Saccharomyces cerevisiae S288C: one gene and its partner. The protein of the gene in region 1 binds, or shares a complex with, the protein of each later gene. Each region holds a gene or a part of one and is shown on either strand. Other genes may lie near its edges.

Region 1 (5,871 bases):
TATCAATAAATGGTGGAAGGTGTGAGCATGCCTTGTCGATGTTGGACAGCAGGATTGGTGGTGGTATTAACGTTGCTTCAGGAATTAATAGCGGCCAAGATTTTACCGATGGTGATAACGAGGATCAAGATAAAGGCAAAAACAGAGTGGACAAAAATGTAAAGGAAGGTTCTTTCATTAGTTTAACACAACGATTCACGATGACAAGTCCACTGGGTGTCAATGATCCAGCTTTACCAGCGGACTTAGAAAAGTTGTATTTAGGTGCAGAATACATTAGCAATTGCGACGCAAATACATCTGGTGGTCAAAAACGAGTAAAATCTCCAACTAAAGCAGATACAGGCTACGATGATAAACACTTGCCTGATGATACGATACATACATTTGAAGATGAATATTTGGCCGATGAAGACGACTTTTCTTGCCTTGGAATTGACAAAAGAAGCTCAACAAAGCCCACAAAGCCTCTAGAAAAATTTGGAGTGGTTGCTGTGCCACACTTCATCAGGAGGTTTTCTATTAAAAGGTCGAGTAAGGATAAATCAAATGATATGAAAAGACCATATACTACAAGCAGCTTGGAGTTGCAATTAAGGTCAAATCACTTTATGTTCGCCAAAGAATACCAAGACTTACATAGACAATTATATTACGAAGTTAAACCAAGGACGCAATCAGAATTGGACGCAAGACGTCGAAACTATTCTGAATTAGAATCTCAGATGTGGAAAATTAAACATCGGTTCAATATTCATAGAGGAGCACTGCCTCGTCCACGAACGAATCCGTATGAGCTATTACTGGACCACATTGATGTTTTGAACCGTGGCAACACTGGGGATATTTTGAGATTTACCACTAGTAGATACGGTGGTGTAGATACGTATGATTCCATCTTGAGGGACCAATCCACGATCATGGAACTTTTAGATAAACGGTGTGCCTATTCACCTCCAGTACTGTTCGATAATGAGGCTAAAGAACGTGATCATGATCGCGATTGTTATCAAGATTACAATCACGACCACCGGAGTCATTAATATTAAAAAAAAAAAATGTGATTGTTAATAAGGGGTGGGATGCGCGAAATTCTATGCCTACAGTAGAAAGCGGTTGTTGCACAAATGATTAAATCTTTATCTCCAACTCACAATACTATCGCGATAGATGCATAATATGTGCAGCTTCTAAACAGCACGGAGTGATGATAAATACGCATATATGTATATATATATGTATGTGCATATGCACGTCCTTTTAAAACTCAAAATACAACATTCTTAGTAAATCCTTTTGTTGACACACGTCGGAACAACTCAGGACGGAGTTAATGGATATGCTTCATAATAAATGTAGTGATGCTATCAAAAGCACCTCCAATAGCAATTTGAGTAATGAGGTAGACAAACAAAAATTGCAATACGATGACCTCGGGAACACCGGATTTTCTGAACTATTTGAGATGGAATCTCAAGATAATAATGATAGCATAGAGGATTTCTTGTTCTTTAATATAAATTTAACCCAGGAGGTTGAGTTCGAGAACCAAAGACAATATGAGCACACGAAAAAGACAAAGAAGCATAACCCATTCTATGTACCGTCAGAGGTAGTGCGAGAGATGGTCAAGAAACACGCATTGAATGGCAGAATATAGTTAAGCCCGATAACACATTCTATTTTTCATGTTTTAATAACGTTTCATATATGAATTTTTCTCAAATATACGATATATACCTAAATGAATATGCATATGGAAGTGAAGTTGGGGATTTTGCAAACTTGTCTTATGTTAATCTTGGCTTAAAGAATGTTTTCCAAAAGGCCGTTCTTATTAATTTTTCTTCTCTTGGTTCTGTTAAATGCTAGTGAATTCGCATTGACGTTCGTTGGTATGGCTACTGCTCCGAATGCGATTGGATGGCTTGCCTTCCTGCCACGATTACTGAACAAATCGAGTTCTACATTTGCATCCAACAGTAGTTCTTTCAATATAAACCACTTTCTTTCTTTCTGTGAAAGTTTTTGGTACTCTTCAAGCAAGTTCTCTTGGATTTTGGTCAGTATATCAATTTTTTCATCATCTGATAAGTCAGGGTCCTCAGTTTCTTGGTCCTGCTCCGCTGCATTTAATGTTACAATTTGGTCATTGACAGCTTGTAAAAAGTTGTCATTCATAGCGTAAAGATTGTCCTTGTACAACCTTGTCTTGAGGGTGCTTATATCTATCTCATCTTGGTTAGCGTTCGTTATTACATTCCCTGGAGAATTCTTTATCATTTCATAGTTCATTTTCGATATGTCATCCACGGCAACAATGTGTCTTTTGAATGTCGTGGTGTTTGTGTGAGTGGAAGCAGTTGAGGCGGCATTTGCATCGGTAGCTGTAGATGGGGTCGAAGAACCTTGTTGATTCAAGCCATCTGCGTTATGAAATTTTTTGTGATGTGGGTCTTTCTCCAAGAAATCTGGAGTTTTGACACTTTTGTAATGTTGAGTAGCTGCATGAGCAAACTGCACCTGTTTATTGGTTGCCAAGAGGTCTTCGAACTTCATTGTTATGATTCCATTGAAGACAGCTATGTCAGTTAACAACGCAATTCCCCCTTTCACACGAAAACCTTTTCTCTAAACATCCTTCTCTTTTATCATAATTCGTGGTTAGTGCCGGCCTAAAAATTTTTCAGCATATTAAAACAGAAGATAGAAAAGAAATAGAAAATGCGATGAGACGTCAAGTTTTCCAATTAAAGAGGACGTGAGAAAGGAGCTGTTAAACATGGATCAAAGTGTGGAAGACTTATTTGGAGCACTAAGAGATGCTAGTGCCAGTCTAGAAGTAAAAAATTCAGCGAAGGAACAAGTTTCTCTTCAACAAGAGGATGTTTTGCAGATAGGCAATAATGATGATGAAGTAGAAATTGAAAGTAAATTTCAAGAGATCGAAACTAATCTTAAGAAGCTTCCTAAGTTAGAAACCGGATTTGATGCTTTAGCAAACAAGAAGAAGAAGAAGAACGTCTTGCCTAGTGTGGAGACAGAAGATAAAAGAAAACCCAACAAGAGCGACAAAAACGATAATGACTGGTTTACCTTACCAAAGCCAGATGATAACATGCGTCGTGAAGTTCAACGAGATTTATTGCTGATTAAACATAGAGCTGCTCTTGATCCAAAGAGACATTATAAGAAGCAACGTTGGGAGGTGCCAGAGAGGTTTGCTATTGGTACCATAATTGAAGACAAGAGTGAGTTTTATAGTAGTCGTATGAACAGGAAGGAAAGAAAGTCGACTATTTTGGAAACACTCATGGGTGATGAAGCTTCTAATAAGTATTTCAAGCGTAAATACAACGAAATTCAGGAGAAATCTACGAGCGGTAGGAAGGCACATTACAAGAAAATGAAAGAGATGAGAAAGAAGCGGAGGTGAGATAATGGAATTTTCTTCGCCACGTATTCCATATAGTATATTGTAAAGTGGTTTAGATTACATAGAAATATTCAAAAGAATTAATAATTTGCATATCGTTTAAAAAAAAAAAACCTTTGAAAACATAGTAAAGAATTATCGGCTTTTGTACAGGATACGAATTAGTAGGTATAAAAGGAACAACCGCAGCAAATAAGTACGAGAAACGAGCCACTCACGTGAAAACATATAGAGAAAAGCGACCGGAGATAATGAAGCTAGGACATCGTGAGCAACAATTCTACTTGTGGTACTTCATCGTTCACATTCCCATCACCATATTCATCGACTCATCAGTGGTTATTCCCGCTAAATGGCAACTAGGGATTGCGCAAAAGGTTGTTAGTGATCACATCGCAAAGCAACACGATTTCCTGCTATCAGAGAAACCAGAATGGCTATACTGGTTTGTAGTCCTTGAGCTAGTTCTGCAACTACCCCTTTTCGTCTATTTCGTCAATAAATTCTGGAATTCAAGCGAATTACAAGTTAATACAAATAGCAGATTGAAAAAGTGGTTGCGTATCTATGGCTGGAATGCCTCTCTAACTACCTTGATATGTATCGTTGTTATTTTCAAGCGTGGTTACATTCCTTACGATGTGCTAAAAACAAGCTTGTCCATGACCCAGAAGTGTCAGTTAGCCTCGGTGTACCTACCTACATTCCTAATTCCTTTGCGTTTGTGTTTTGTGTAGCCTGTGTCGGCTATATATACAGTATTAGTGACTATATAGTTAATTAGTGACATATGCCACTAGTTTTATCTAATTATTGTGCTGCGTTTTGCAGTATTCTTTTTTATTTGAAACGCGTCACAAAAGTTTCGCGTCCTTAGGGAAATGGCTGGTTTTTGTTTTAAAATAGTATATTATCCTTGATGTAATTTAGCAAGAGTGTATTGTAAGGGAACAGTCTGTTACTGCCATTCCCTCATCGCTAGATCCCCCTTCCCTCGCTTATTCCGTTACTTTCGCTTTACTGAGCCATAACCAAGCGCACGCATACATATATATATATATATATATTGTGCTGCACGTATATATAAATAAATCACGCGTACAAGGATACGTTAGCCAAATTCTTTGGATATAACAAAACAGCTACAACTCATGGTTAATAATATCATGCACGAGTACGTACCACCCAGTCAGCGGCTATTCCATAGCAGGCATAGAATAACAAGAAACGATTTGAAAGAAGAGGCCCTACATTCCGGGACCACAGATTGGACAACAATTCTGGACACAACAATAGATAAAGATACTAATCTCATTAGTTATGCTGTCCCCATAATAGACAACTTTGCCATTCCTCGAGCAAACTCTCAGGGGAGTCCTGTGGCCCCTTCGCCGAATCACAGATCAACGATGTACTCTTCTTCATCTTCTTCTGCGTCTTCTGTGTTTTCTGATGGTTTGTTTACTCCAAACAACAACAGGAACTCATCAGGATCATCTTCATTAGTCATTAGACCACAAAAAAATTTGAGTGTAGATTCTTTGATTCAGGAAAATAAAAGGAAAATCAATAGTGAAAAAGAATCGTTATCATTAATTGCCAATAATAACGATGAAACCTTGTGCACTCATACTGATCCATCCATACAAAACCTCATTAAATCGGAAACAAAGAGGAACATCTTAAATTTAAAGTTTCAAAATAGAAACTTATTTCGAAGAGAACTAAAATTGGAAAAGTTTTGGAGCAATTTGAGAAGTTGTCATACATCTGGCGATGAGACGGACCTGCTGTTGGTGATAAGTAAGCATAACTTATATTGGTTTGGGATACCGAACGATTTTCGTCTTCCAATATACAAGAGATGTTTATATCACTATAGCGAACTAGACGAAGCCGGATTTTTCAGTCAGTATGCGAACAACTCATTGTATCTAGCAATAAGGAAATGTTGTAACAACGAAGAGCAGGAAACTCTATCCCGGTCTATTTTCATCAATTTGACGAAAAACGTTACCTGGTTGAATAGTCGTTTCGATGACAATAAGGACAACAAGAATTCTTACACGGTTACTGAGGGGAAGTTCTATCAGGACTTTCCTAACTTATACTACCATTTAAAGGACAAGTTGAAATTAAATGTGATAATGGATTTCATCAAGCCTGTAATAAGAAATTTTATGACCAACGCATTGAATAAGCACAAATTAGATGGTATTGGTCTAGAACTTTTAGATATTCTAATAGTGACTACCTATTATGGTCCGAATAAAATCAATGCTTTCTTAATGGATACATTTATCTTAAACTTGCTAAAACAGTGCCATTACAAGTTTTTTGTCAGTAATATCTCTGAGCTGGTTATTCAAATTTCTAAAATCGATTGTGACTTAGTCATTCTGCTAGAAGATTTAAGGTCACGGATTGATTTAGAT
Region 2 (4,099 bases), on another chromosome or scaffold:
GGAATTAATGTACGAACACGATGATGACGACAGTGACAAACTTAAAAATTCCCAGAAAAGAGCTACCGACTCAGCTATTGAAGAATTAAACGGTATGGTTGAAGAAATGATGATTAATGAGCCAGACGATGTAAAAATCTCCATAACTGAGGCAGAGACTTTCGAATCATTGACAAAGTTTGATCAATATAAGCCATCCAATATAACTGACGATGACTTACAAAGCAGCCATTCAAGCGCCGTTCACTCATTGAAGCTAAGTACAAATACAAATGATTCTTGCGCTGATAGTTCCAAATACACCGCTGATAGGAAATTAGCGGAACCTAGAAAGATTTCTGAGGAATCCAAAGTCAACGACGATTCATCATCATATTATTCTCCAAATATCAACAACTTGCCGGCATCAAGAATGCCTAGTCAACCCACTTATTCAAATTCGGATTCGAAAAAGGCATTTACGAATGAGTCTCGCCTGAACGTCTTACAAGGTGCAGTCAGTCCATCTCAACAGGTAACACCAAAACCATATAAAAATGCGCCTGGAGACTGTGTATCTCCTGTTCAGCAAAAATACTATCAGAACGATCGTAGAAATGAAATGTCGCCTGCAAGTGCACCAGTTCCACCTTCTGCATATTCACCTGCGAGGTCTCCACAATTCTCCACCAATTCGGCTGGATTCAAGCAGAACACGATTAATGTACCCGTTGGGTATAATGATCCTGCTCACGTTTTAGCAAATCAACCACATATGACATATCGGGACCAGCATAATTATCCATCTCACCAACAAAAACAACGTCCCTTCCAAAACAATATTGTGCCCCCAGAACTAAAGTCCAGAAATCAACGGGCAGATGCTTCACCTATTCCCCAACATATGGTGCCAGTAAAACAAGGTGTGCCCAATCTTCCATCTAACGTTCCATTATATCAACAAATGGAACGAATGAACCCTAACCACCAGCACCCTGTAAATACTTACAAGGTAACTCAGCCGCCGTATCATAATAACACAACAAATGCTTATGGGAACAGCCGGGCAGGCAATGCTCATATGTTAGATGGAAAGTGGAGCAATAATCCGCCGCAAATGGTACCAAAGGGAGTTCGCCCCAATCAATATCCACAGCAGCACGTTAATAGGTATTCACCGCAAGCTCAACCTGTCGTACCTGCGGAATACTACAATGGACCTCCACCTATGCGAGCACCTCCAATGATGTCCCATATGGTACCAGCTCAGGAGCCGATACGTTACACAGCTGGTGCTAACAGGCGTAGTTTTCCCCAAGGCATGCAGCAGAATGCCTATTCCGTACCCGCTCAGCCTATGGGGGCTGTAAATAGTGAATTTTACCTACCAGAAGCTCCTCAGGGAAACAAACTGCATGGAAATATTAACAAAAGACAGGAGAGAAAGAAGCTATATGATAACATTAGAAGCGGAAATTTCGGCATATAGAAACACTTTGTATCTGAAATTATCATCTTTATGAAATCTCAACAGTTGTAAAATTTCCCGAATATTTATACATATATATGTGTATGTAATTACAAGTATTTAGGACAATAAGGAGAGATTTAAGTCTACTACATAATTTTTAACTCCTACAAATGGCAGGTTACGTTGAGTAAGAATATAACATTTTATTTTCCATATTCAACATCATATGCATTTTATCATCTCATCCTCTTAGTCACTAATTTTTCTAACGCTCATAACAAAAGGTGCGTTACGCCGTCTAGAGCTTTTCTTGAACGTTAAAACTTTACCAAGCAGTTGACGGGTAATCATTCTCATAATCCAAGTAATTTTAAAGATATCAACAAAATGTACTATAATGCCAACACATTCTTTACTTATATTGGCCGGAAGATAAATCCAATTTCTCGAGTAATTGTGGTATGTCCCAAGAAAGTAGTGTTTTATCAGAATCGCAAGAACAACTAGCCAATAACCCTAAAATAGAGGATACAAGCCCTCCCTCTGCCAATTCGAGAGATAATAGCAAACCTGTACTTCCGTGGGATTACAAGAATAAAGCCATAGAGATCAAGAGCTTCAGTGGTTATAAGGTAAATTTCACCGGCTGGATAAGAAGAGACGTAAGAGAAGAACGTCAAAGGGGAAGCGAGTTTACTGCATCTGACGTTAAAGGATCAGATGACAAAGCTACAAGGAAAAAAGAACCAGCAGATGAGGATCCTGAAGTAAAACAACTTGAAAAAGAAGGAGAGGATGGACTGGACTCATAAGGTAATGTCAACAGCTTAAAGTTGTTCTCAGGGCCCCACACTTTCTAGTTTGGCACGTCATTTATGAAATTCACAAATTGGTTACATTAAGTACTAAATCTGGTAGCCGACCAAAAAAGAACAACAAATATACAATTGTATGAGTAAATATGCAATATAAATCAAATGTATTTAGTTAAAGGGCCAGAAGTAAGGCTACAGACTGTAAAAGAAAATTAGATGGAAACCCTCTTCAGGAAAAAAGGACATTATAAAAGATACAGCCAAGAAGTGGGCGTTTATAAAACAATTATATAACATGACCGTCGATTATATTCTGACAGGAATGGCGACGATTGCATCGTTATATTTCATTTCATTCCCAACTCAACGATACTGGTATCAAAAAGCCTCTCTGTTCATTATTTGTCCCACTACAAGCGACTCTCTTATTTTTGGCGGTCTCTGCCAGCTTAAGAAAAAGCGGTTACCAAACGACACTAAAAGAAGCGGCGCGTCTGGTTCATTAGAAATTTGTCAGTAATGCTGTCAATCTTTGTGTAAAAAGTCTTTCCATCAGTTGCCACCCCTTTTGTAGCAACTTCCATGCGTAGAACAACCTCACATTCATTATTTTTTTTACCCTTCTCTTTTAATTGTTCAATTGCGAACAGACCATCCAAAGATTCGAAAGAAAGACTGAGGTGCTCCGCATAAAATCTTTATAAACTTTAGAAGTAAATGGTTTCGTTCAGAGGGCTGACTACACTAACACTACTTTTTACCAAATTAGTAAACTGTAATCCTGTTTCCACAAAAAATAGGGACTCTATACAGTTTATTTATAAAGAAAAGGATAGTATATACTCTGCCATCAACAATCAAGCCATCAATGAAAAAATTCATGGAGTCAATTTGGGTGGGTGGCTAGTATTGGAGCCGTATATTACACCTTCTTTATTCGAGACTTTCCGTACTAATCCGTACAACGATGACGGTATTCCTGTTGATGAATACCATTTTTGTGAAAAATTAGGCTATGAAAAGGCAAAGGAACGCCTTTATAGTCATTGGTCGACGTTCTATAAAGAGGAAGACTTCGCGAAAATTGCTTCTCAAGGCTTCAATTTGGTTAGAATTCCTATTGGGTATTGGGCCTTTACAACGTTGAGTCATGATCCCTATGTTACCGCCGAGCAGGAATATTTTCTAGACCGGGCTATCGATTGGGCTAGGAAATATGGTTTGAAAGTATGGATTGATCTTCATGGAGCCGCTGGTTCACAAAACGGATTTGATAACTCAGGGTTGAGGGATTCATATAAGTTTCTGGAAGATGAAAATTTAAGCGCCACCATGAAAGCTTTAACGTATATTTTAAGCAAATACTCAACAGACGTATACCTGGACACCGTTATTGGAATCGAATTGCTCAATGAACCGTTAGGTCCAGTTATTGACATGGAAAGATTGAAAAATTTGCTTTTGAAGCCGGCTTATGACTATTTGAGAAATAAAATTAATAGCAACCAGATCATTGTAATACATGATGCTTTTCAACCTTACCATTATTGGGATGGGTTTTTGAATGATGAAAAGAACGAATATGGCGTCATAATTGACCATCATCATTATCAGGTGTTCTCGCAGGTGGAATTAACAAGAAAAATGAATGAACGTATCAAAATCGCCTGCCAATGGGGGAAAGATGCCGTAAGCGAGAAGCATTGGTCCGTAGCAGGCGAATTTTCAGCGGCCTTAACAGATTGTACAAAGTGGTTAAATGGGGTTGGTCTAGGTGCCAGATATGATGGAAGTTGGACCAAAGACAATGAAAAATCTCATTACATAAATACGT

What was found.
Region 2: IES3 (region 1) and IES4 share a complex: the UniProt entries of both Saccharomyces cerevisiae proteins name them as parts of the chromatin-remodeling INO80 complex.

Annotation. Positions count from the first base shown.
Region 1 is NC_001144.5:243,889-249,759, reverse strand, and holds IES3 (Ies3p), read right to left. Parts: upstream 2,560-5,871; coding exon 1,807-2,559; downstream 1-1,806. Other genes in the region: OSW2 (Osw2p), read left to right, coding at 1-1,043; NRS1 (Nrs1p), read left to right, coding at 1,334-1,660; FCF2 (Fcf2p), read left to right, coding at 2,783-3,436; EMA19 (Ema19p), read left to right, coding at 3,688-4,173; MLO50 (Mlo50p), read left to right, coding at 4,588-5,871. UniProt on the Saccharomyces cerevisiae protein: Probably involved in transcription regulation via its interaction with the INO80 complex, a chromatin-remodeling complex.
Region 2 is NC_001147.6:687,713-691,811, forward strand, and holds IES4 (Ies4p), read left to right. Parts: upstream 1-1,911; coding exon 1,912-2,262; downstream 2,263-4,099. Other genes in the region: MSB1 (Msb1p), read left to right, coding at 1-1,468; SPR1 (glucan 1,3-beta-glucosidase), read left to right, coding at 2,983-4,099.